2 linked regions of the Oryzias latipes genome follow. The protein of the gene in region 2 interacts with the protein of the main gene of each other region in a biochemical or structural test. Links are inferred from orthologs where the notes say so. Each region holds a gene or a part of one and is shown on either strand. Other genes may lie near its edges. The genes, in order: map1lc3a and phb2.

Region 1 (4,596 bases), on a different chromosome or scaffold from region 2:
AAAAAAGGAGAGAAAGAGGAAGAGGGATGTTAGAGATGGGGGACATGGGTACAAAAGAAAGGGGGGAAAATGGGGTTCAAGTAGTTGGAGGATGATAAAGACGTATGGGAGGGGGTAGAATCACAAAGCAACAAAAGTAAAAAAGGTTGAAGTGGAGGGCTGAGCTTTCCAGGAAAAATGGAAAGAGTTTTATTTGTTCATGGAGCTGAAACCTGAAAACCTGCATGCTTGGTATGCCATCAAAAGGTTGCAGTGCTCAACGAATATAACATTCAGCACCATTATGAGACTCAACATAAAAAAAGTTTCACTATTTGCAGTTAAGAAAAGAGAAGATTTACCAACTATTAGCTAGACTGAAAAAACAACCGTCTGCATTAACTGCAGCCGTGACGTCAGTGATAGAGCAGTGATAGACACCTTATTGCAGACAAGTTGGAGCAAACATCCAATCCATTTTTGGATTGTGAACTTATGGAAAATATGAAGGATGCAGAAGTGTTGTACCCCAAAAAGCAGTCTACCTTTGCCAACATGAGTCTGTCAAGGATTACGATTACACAACATCTCCGAGGAGACTTGGACGGCCAAATGAAGGAATCTAGTCATTTATTGTATTTTCAGTCACTGTTGATGAAAGCACCGACATCACAGATGAATAAAGTTGTGCATATTTATTAGAGGTGTTGAGCAGACCATCACAGCAGAGTTTCTTGAGTTGATGGACAAAACAACAGCTGATGACATAGTCAGCTCTCTAGTTACTGTGCTGGACAATGTTGGAGTGAACTGGTCACATGATGTCAGTCTGGTCACTGATGGCGCCCCATCAAAGCTCAGGAAGAAGGCAGGTGTTGCCACAAAATTCTGGCAGCAAACCAGGAAAAGACTCTTGGAAATTTCATTGTGTTTTGCACACTTGAATGACAGTAAATGTGTTGCTGCACAGGATTTAAATCCTGATATTGATGGATGGTTTCAGGAGAGAAAGGGAGGTTAACTCCAAATTGCTCACATATGTTTGCAAGTATGATTTAGTCTAATTTTTCCTTTATTTACACATTTAAATCTTAGGCAAGGTGTTTCTTTTTTTTCCGTAGCCCCTCTTGAGTTTATTATCAGGATTGCTTCAGTCTGTATAAAATTGAATCGACCATGTTTTTTTTAAGTGAAATGCATTTTGTTTTAGATCCCTTGGCCTCTGTCAATGAATCTGTAATAATAAGGGATTTGCCTCCTATGGTTAAGGCATTTTTTCCAACTAAGAAAAAAAACCACAAAGCTGTTATTTTGCCTTTATGTTACTGGTCTGGCCCACATGAGATCAGACGGCCCCCAAACCAAAATGAATTTGACACCTTGTTCCCTCTGTCCTTGTCTTTTGTATTCCTGGAGTTTTTCATTTATCATAGACATTGAGTACATGTGGATTAATTAGCTAGTGTTTCCTGGTGTCATTTAGAATGCTGCATTTCTTGTTTTTGAACCCCGGCAGAAATCAAACCTCACTTAAGGGTTCCTTTCCTGCTGCTGCAGTTTCACTTGTTCACATTAAAGATGGAGGCCAGAGGCTGAGTGCTGTCTGTGTGTGTTGTTAAAGAACGACAGAGTGCTGGAATGATGAGAGCAGCTTCTTCCATTACAATGACACGAGCACAAAAATGATTCCTAGAAAACAAATGTTTCAACCTTAACAAGTAACATGGATCTGGTTCTGCAGGGGGTTCTGCTCTTTCATTGAGATGGAGGTGTCCTCTAATGTTGTTATTGCTCAGTAGCTACAGCTGACTGTGGTTGCCAATTTGACTAAATTTGGATTTTGGTTCATGTTAGGCGATCCAATTGGATCTGATCCACTGACTTAAAGTGGATCCAGGACACCTTTAGCCAAAACGTCCACCAGTGTGACTCAGAGAGAAATACCTGCAGGTTCTGAACAGTGTAGGGGAAGTTTTCCAGATTCCTTGTGTTTCTTCAAGATAATCAAGTGTAAATTAAATATGTGTACAAACAAACAAGTAAACAAGAATGGATGTCCAATCTATTCACATTTTAGTTTCCTAAAGTTCAGTCCACTGTTGTTTTTCCACATCAAAATGATCCAAAGGGAACATTTTAAAAACATTCTACCACACTGTATGGTGACATGACTTTGTCTATATATGTTTATATTCAAAGTATTTTCTACACATAGGACTGTAATGATGGACTCATCAGTTTTTGCTGATGACATCACATGTATGTTGTGTTGTCTGCTGTGATGCACTTGGTCACTTTAAACCTTATAGTCAAATAAATCTACTGTACTTCAATCCAAATGGTAACGATATCAATTTATCTCATTTTGAATGTTTTCTATTTAAACATCTTGAGAATTGATCTTTTAATAATCCTCTACAGCAGGAACACGTGATAAGCAGCTTCTTGGTTGAAATGGCTGCCCCCGTTGGGCCTCAGCTAAAGTAATCTATTACTTTTAGATCGTTTCCTTGTTAGAGTACAGTAGTCCTGAGGTGGTCAGTGACCTTCTGCTGCCCCCCCACCACAGTACCGTTCCCCTGACCCCCAACAGAGAAGCACCGCCTGAACCTCCACGACCTGCGAGACCTCTGGAAGAACAGAAGGAGCTTCCGGTGTCACATGGCAGCATCCACGGTAAACGGGTCAAGCACTGACGGAACCGAGGTCCGGCTCGCAGTTTTTAATCTGCTATCGGAGGTCTGGCAGAACGGGAACAGGCCCAGAGTGACAAGAACCCAGCTGACCCACGAAAACCTGCAGAGGTCTCGCGCCGGTCCTGCCGACAGCGACGGAACCGGGCCGGCCATCCGCGGACACGGCGGCCCTGGCCTGCCCTGAGAAAGTCCGGTGGCGGACGGGCTGGCGGGGCCCACAGCGGCCGGTTCTTCTTACCGAAAGTCCTCCGCTGCTTGAAAGGCCTGTCGGACGGCATCTTTGTCGCCGTGGTGTCAGGTCCAGCCCGGTTAAGTCAGACGCTGCAAATCGGTTCGGCGCTCTTCTCTACAGGTCTTCTCAGCGGCGGCTCCGTCCGGGCAAACAAAGCCTCTGAACACAGACGGTGACGTCAGCAGCTACGTTTAAAGGGGACGTCCCCCATTTGCTCGGAACCAAACTGGTCCAGGTGTTGGAACCACTTCACTCCTTCATTCCATCAGCCAGACTTTGGGCTTCCTAACTGGACTGAGAAGCTGCCGTTCTCACCCGAACCAAACAGAAAACCCGATCTGCATGGAGCAAAAACGCTATAGGGGCAGGTCCCTCTGCGGTCCCTCTGCGGTCCCTCTGGGGGCCCTCTGGGGCCCCTCTGGGGCCCTCTGACCATCACAAGACTCCAAATGAAGATTCCAGGCTCAGACATCAAATGCTGGATTGCTGTCTCTTCTCCACAGATCATTTCTGTTTTGGAACAGTAGAATCTCTAGCTCACCCTGGAAAAAATGTGGATATTACATTATAAATATTTTTAAACTACTTAGATAAGATGCATTTCTTTTAAATGTTTATAGCACTATCCACTGCACATGGTGGCACAGTGGTCAGCACTCTTGCCTGACAGCAAGAAGGCCCCTGGTTCAAGTCCTGAAACAGAACATCAATGGGGACGTCTCTGCGTGGAGTTTGCATGTGTACCACTATGGAAGTGTTTCTGTAGCATAATTAAAAATAAAAGTCAATACCAGAAAAGCTTTTTCATTTTGAAAATGCAGCTGCATTTGTTGACTCAAAATTAAAATAAGCAATCCTCCAAAATGTTCTTTCTTTTCTTTTTTGCCCCGCCTCCCTCCTGCAAATGCTAACTAGAATTGAATTGGTCAGTTCAAGAGGGGCCCAAGTCCACAATTTTTCAAAATAGAGATTTTATTTTTTCTATGGTCTTCAAGGGAAAAGCTATCTGATTATGTGCAAAAAAAAGTCCCAAGTCCGTTGTTATGTATTGACTATGCTTGACATTTAAAATGCATTAAGTGCATTTTCCTGGACTTGGGCCTCTCTTGGATGGGTTTAGCTTTATCCCATAGATGGCAGCACTAGTTATCCAATATGGCAGCACCCCTGTTTAATTCAAGAAGGGTCCAAGTCCAGAGACTTTAGTTTGCTAGTCCTCTAAAATGATAAAAGTGAGGTGCTTCATATTATAGCATTTGTAAGCTATGAACTTGTGCTAAATCTGGGTAAAGTATTCATCATTTGGTGTAGCCTCCCTATAAGCTATGCAATTAAAATCATTTCCTGGAAAAACAAACCTCTTGGACTTGGGCCCCTTTTGAACTAACGGATTCAATTTAATATTGCGACACTTTTCGCACGGTGGATGTGAAAACGAAAATGCAATCCTCTCCTTGCATTTTTGCTTTAATTATGTCACAGATGTTAAAGTAGAAATGAAAAAGCATTTTGAAAGATTGATGTTTCATTTTAATTTTGAGTTATTTGATGCAGTTACATTGTGAAAATGAAAAAGCATTTCTGTTAGTCCATTTTAATTGTCAAATTAGACATTTCTAAATGAATTTTGCATCACATTTACCAGAGAACATTTTGTAAAGGAAATGTCAAAAACCGTTTCATTATCAT
Region 2 (4,408 bases):
GCAGCACTGAGGCTTGGCTCCATTTTTCCTGTACAGCGTGAACCCCTGCAGCTTTTTCCTGAACATCCTCATAGATTTTGGAAATTTCTCACTTTGTTTTTTTTGTTTTTTTTAGCTGCTCTCTGAACCTGTGTGGAATAGATTTGTGTTTTACTATGACAAGAGTTGTGAATTAAAGTTTAACAATGTTGTAATAACACAGTGTCCTCTTTTTAATAAACATACAAACGCAGCACATCTGAACATCACAGTTGAAACTGAATAAAACCGACCTGATGTGACAGTTGATGGACTGTGACTGCAGCTCGTTACAGATGCAGGAGCTGAAATGAGTTTCGTCATCATTGACTGTATAACAGAACTGGACTGACCCCCCCCCCCCCCCCCCGTTCCAACTAGGAGGTGCCGGCTGGATCCAAGAACTCAAAGTCTCAAACTTCAATGTCACAATAACCATTCTTGCGCTGTTCCCTTTTTCTTGACATGTTCTTGCTAATCCTAATTTTGTTTTCATATTTTGTCTGTAGTTCATATTATTCCAGTTATAAACTAGCCAATCAGATGCCTCAATGAAAGCAGGTGGCCTTGCGTTGAACATGTCACATTTTTTTTTTTAATTTTCCTGAGCCTGTGCTCAATGAAAGGAGGTGTGTCCTTCGAACATGCTCACTCCTCATTGGAGAGACAGGTTGCCATGAAAATGTTGACTTAGTCGGACTCAGACTTATCACGGTTTACTGAGGACGTCTGGCGATGGCTATTCTGTTGAAAAATGGCGACTAAATTGATTTGCAGATCATTTTCTATGGGTGACATCACGCATGCTTGGTCCAGTTCTCTTGCAGTCAGTGGTCCAAGCTGTCTGTCTCTCATAGTGAAACAGCCGCACAGACAAACAAAAACTTGCAGGTTTCGAAGTGATTTAGAAATGTGAAGTCTGTATAGAATGGAAGTTCATAACAGATTTTTTGGAACTGAACCCAAGACTTCACTCCGACCATCTTTTGGTCCATTTTCAAAGCGTTCCCATTGGTCTTTGAATTATTATTATGCCATTTATCCAAAACAAAAAACCTGTTTCATTTTTTAGGACATAGTTTCTGCAGAGCGCCAGGAGTTCATTAGAAATTCACCTCTGATATGTGGGCAGCACAGTTGGTGCAGAGTAAGTCTGCCCACACTTCCCAACATCCCTCTGTTTACACTCTCTCCCACTAGCTAACAGTCTCCCAATGACCCCAACCTTCTTTATACGAGGATGGTTCTCTGAATGCATCAGAATGAACCAGAGCAGAGAGCTTGTGGCTTGCCTTAGGAACACGAACATCACACAAGCTTTTTCAAACAGCATTTTTCCGTCTGCTCCTGATTCACAAAGATTTAATTAGAAATACTCAGAAATGCAATTATTAGCTTACATTTCTTTATATCCTGAGAAAAACGCAACAAAAACACGTCAAAAACATAAAAAAAACCCCACAATTTTCATTGGAGTTGGTCTTCAGAAGAAAACACAGTTGGACCAGCTGCAGTACCGTTTCTTACTCACAGGAGGCAGCAACACCGGATCCCATATAACTCATTGGGATCCACCTACTTCACTGCAACGTCATGTCCCAGCATGCCTTGCGCTAAACTGCGTGCGCAGCGAGCTGACCTTGGGTACCGTTGAACAACATGTCGAGCAGGGAGCCGAACGTAAGTGTTCTGGACCGTAAAAGAAAGAAGGTTCCGGTCAGATAGCGCTGTGTATCCGCTTAGGTCAAAGCAACTGACAGGGTAGTTGCTAACTGCGCAAGAACCTCGCGCCGGTGTTTTGCAGCCCACGTGACTACTTTACCTTTGCGGAGGCACGGGTTATGGTAATGTGTGCCGTTCATGTAAAGAAGTGTAGTTTAGTCTAGTTGGAATCTACAGTCTTAGTTCAGACTGATAGTTTATTTAGCTGTAGTCAAATGTATAAGTTGCAGTTCCGTCAGTGAGTTCGGGAAGCGCGTTCTACGGTTCTGACCCATCTTCTCACGAGGGAGAGATGGGAGCTGCAGTCAGTCAGGCAGGCACAGCTCACTACAGCTCCTGCTCTCCATTGTTAGTCCGGAAGGCATCTTACTGTGACCCGGCTAGGGATTAGAACCCGCAACCTCCTAGCTAGTACAGAGTGGTCACTCATCCACTGTAGTTCACAGAGCTGGTTAGTTTGGATTGGTTAAGGAATTTGTAGTTTTTGTCCCAATTTTATTCAGATGAGTTTAGTTATGACAGGTTTAGCTCAAACTGGTTAAGGTTAGTCTGGTTTCTTCCAGACAGGTTAGTTTACATAGACTGGTTTAGTTCAGACTAGTTTATTTTACACTGGTATACTTTAAAATAAACCTATTTAGTTTAGAATAAACCAGACTTGACCCTAAAGCAGTTCATATGGCCTTTTTTATAGTTTGACCAATCCGTGGTTTGCATTAGACTGGTTTTGTTACTAGTTTAGACTAGTTGAGTTCATTCTAATCATGTCTTTTTTCCCATCCATCCCTGCTGTTCTTTGGATCCGACCACAGCGCTTCTTCCAGCACCTGAGAGATCTGTCAGGCCGGATGTCGTCTGGCGGTCGGGGGGCGGGGCTTGGACTTAAGCTGCTGCTGGGAGCCGGCGCTTTGGCGTATGGCGTCTATGAAGCTACATACACAGGTGAGGCCAGGAATCTGGTTTCTGCTGTAGCAACTGTGATCATGTGTATCAGGGGGTAAAGTGTAAGAGGATAAACAAAAACAATTAAAAGTGGACAAAGCAGGACCAGATCAGGAAGATCTACAAATAAAGGTAGTTTGTGAATTTGTGCATCTGCAAGATTTAACGCTGTGATGACCTTAGACAAGGAGGAACTTATTCAAAAGTGTCTTTGGGTAAACACCTGTTTGGACTACTGAAGGTCTTAGAATGAGCAGCGTCTCACCTTTTTGTCCATGTCCTTCACAAACAACCAGTGCAAGCAATTTCAAGCTGTGCAACATCCATATCACAAAGGTCTGCGAAAATCGCAATAAATTGTAAGCCTTAAATGTGCTACAACAATCTTATGGCAGCTTGAAGTATTTTACAAATTGAAAAAATCCCTTTATTCATTTGACCAATCAGATACAACCCTTCACGTTGTTGACAATCGGATGGTGCTTTTATGTTAGATGTTTGCCTCCTTTTTAGACGAGGGTCATTTGAAATATAATTTAAATCTTTCCCGCTATTACTTTTTTTCCTTTCCGACCGTGGTCAGAAGCGCGGGGGACTGAAGGCGGATCCTCCTTCGGGGTTCACTACCCCGTTCAGACCCTCAGATTCTCCAGAGTCACAGAAATTCACATTTAATTGGAAATGTGAACGGCCTTGCAAAAAAATCAAACTTTTTCAAAAAATCGTAATTGAGCATTAAGCCTTGCAGTGTAAACGTAGCCTTAGTAAAGGTGATGTAAAGCAGCTGCTGTTCATCCAGAACGCTGCTGCTCAAGTCCTGACCAAAACCAGGAAGGACGACCACTTCACTTGGTCTTAGGCATCTACTTCCTGTTGCTCAGAGAACAAACATTAGAACAGATCTGATTGTGTTAAATTCTCTCCATGGCTGAGCACCAAAGTACATCTCTGACCTGTTCAAGTTTAGATAAAAAGAAACTTGTTTTTAGATCAGTGTATGACTACTGAATGTCTTTGATCAGCCTTCGTCTTTTTATCTGGTTTTCAAGTGATAAATTGTAATTCATCATTTTGCTGTTTAAGTTTACTGTTGTTGTTTTGTATTATATGCTTCGAATTTGCCCATTTTTTTGTTCCAGTCACATTGAATAACCTTGTTTTGTGTGTGTGCAGTTGAAGGCGGTCACAGAGCCATCGTTTTCAACAGGATTGGAGGGATGCAGATGGACACAATCCTGTCAGAGGGGCTTCATTTCAGGTAAGTTTCACTGAGTCGGTTGTGACAGAAAGGGGTGTGGTCTGTGGTCTCTAGTTCACTGTGGGGACTTTAAGAAGTAAATTATAGCATGTAATCATGCCCAGCTATTCCCTCGGGTCTGACTGGCAGGCAGACTTGCTTCCATGTGGACTGACTTCTGTTTTAAATCGGTTCTCTGAAGTTGGTTGACTTCTTCTGCGTTTGTGTCAGTATGTCAGAAAGCACCAGTTCATAACTTGGAATGTCTCAAAACACTGCTCAAAAACATCAGACAGAGCTTTATAAATTATAATTGTTTAATCTAATTTAGTCCAGATTATTTTACCTGTATTTCAATGAAAGCTGCTGAAATGACCAACAGATTGCATTGAGTTTTGGTGCCTGAACCGAGCGAGCAAACGGTAACAGTGGAAAGGAACATTTTCTAAATAGAAAATTAGGAAAGAAAAAAAGCAGAAACAGACTGTG

The links.
Region 1: the proteins of phb2 (region 2) and map1lc3a form a complex in vitro, tested with the Homo sapiens proteins (2 studies listed by BioGRID). The link is inferred for Oryzias latipes from reciprocal best matches to the Homo sapiens genes PHB2 and MAP1LC3A.

The regions. Positions count from the first base shown.
Region 1 is NC_019863.2:5,857,609-5,862,204, reverse strand, and holds the start of map1lc3a (microtubule-associated proteins 1A/1B light chain 3A), read right to left. Parts: upstream 3,088-4,596; 5' UTR 2,954-3,087; coding exon 2,914-2,953; intron 1-2,913. UniProt on the Homo sapiens protein: Ubiquitin-like modifier involved in formation of autophagosomal vacuoles (autophagosomes). While LC3s are involved in elongation of the phagophore membrane, the GABARAP/GATE-16 subfamily is essential for a later stage in autophagosome maturation.
Region 2 is NC_019862.2:5,433,425-5,437,832, forward strand, and holds the start of phb2 (prohibitin-2), read left to right. Parts: upstream 1-1,573; 5' UTR 1,574-1,677; coding exon 1,678-1,698; intron 1,699-2,552; coding exon 2,553-2,682; intron 2,683-3,855; coding exon 3,856-3,940; intron 3,941-4,408.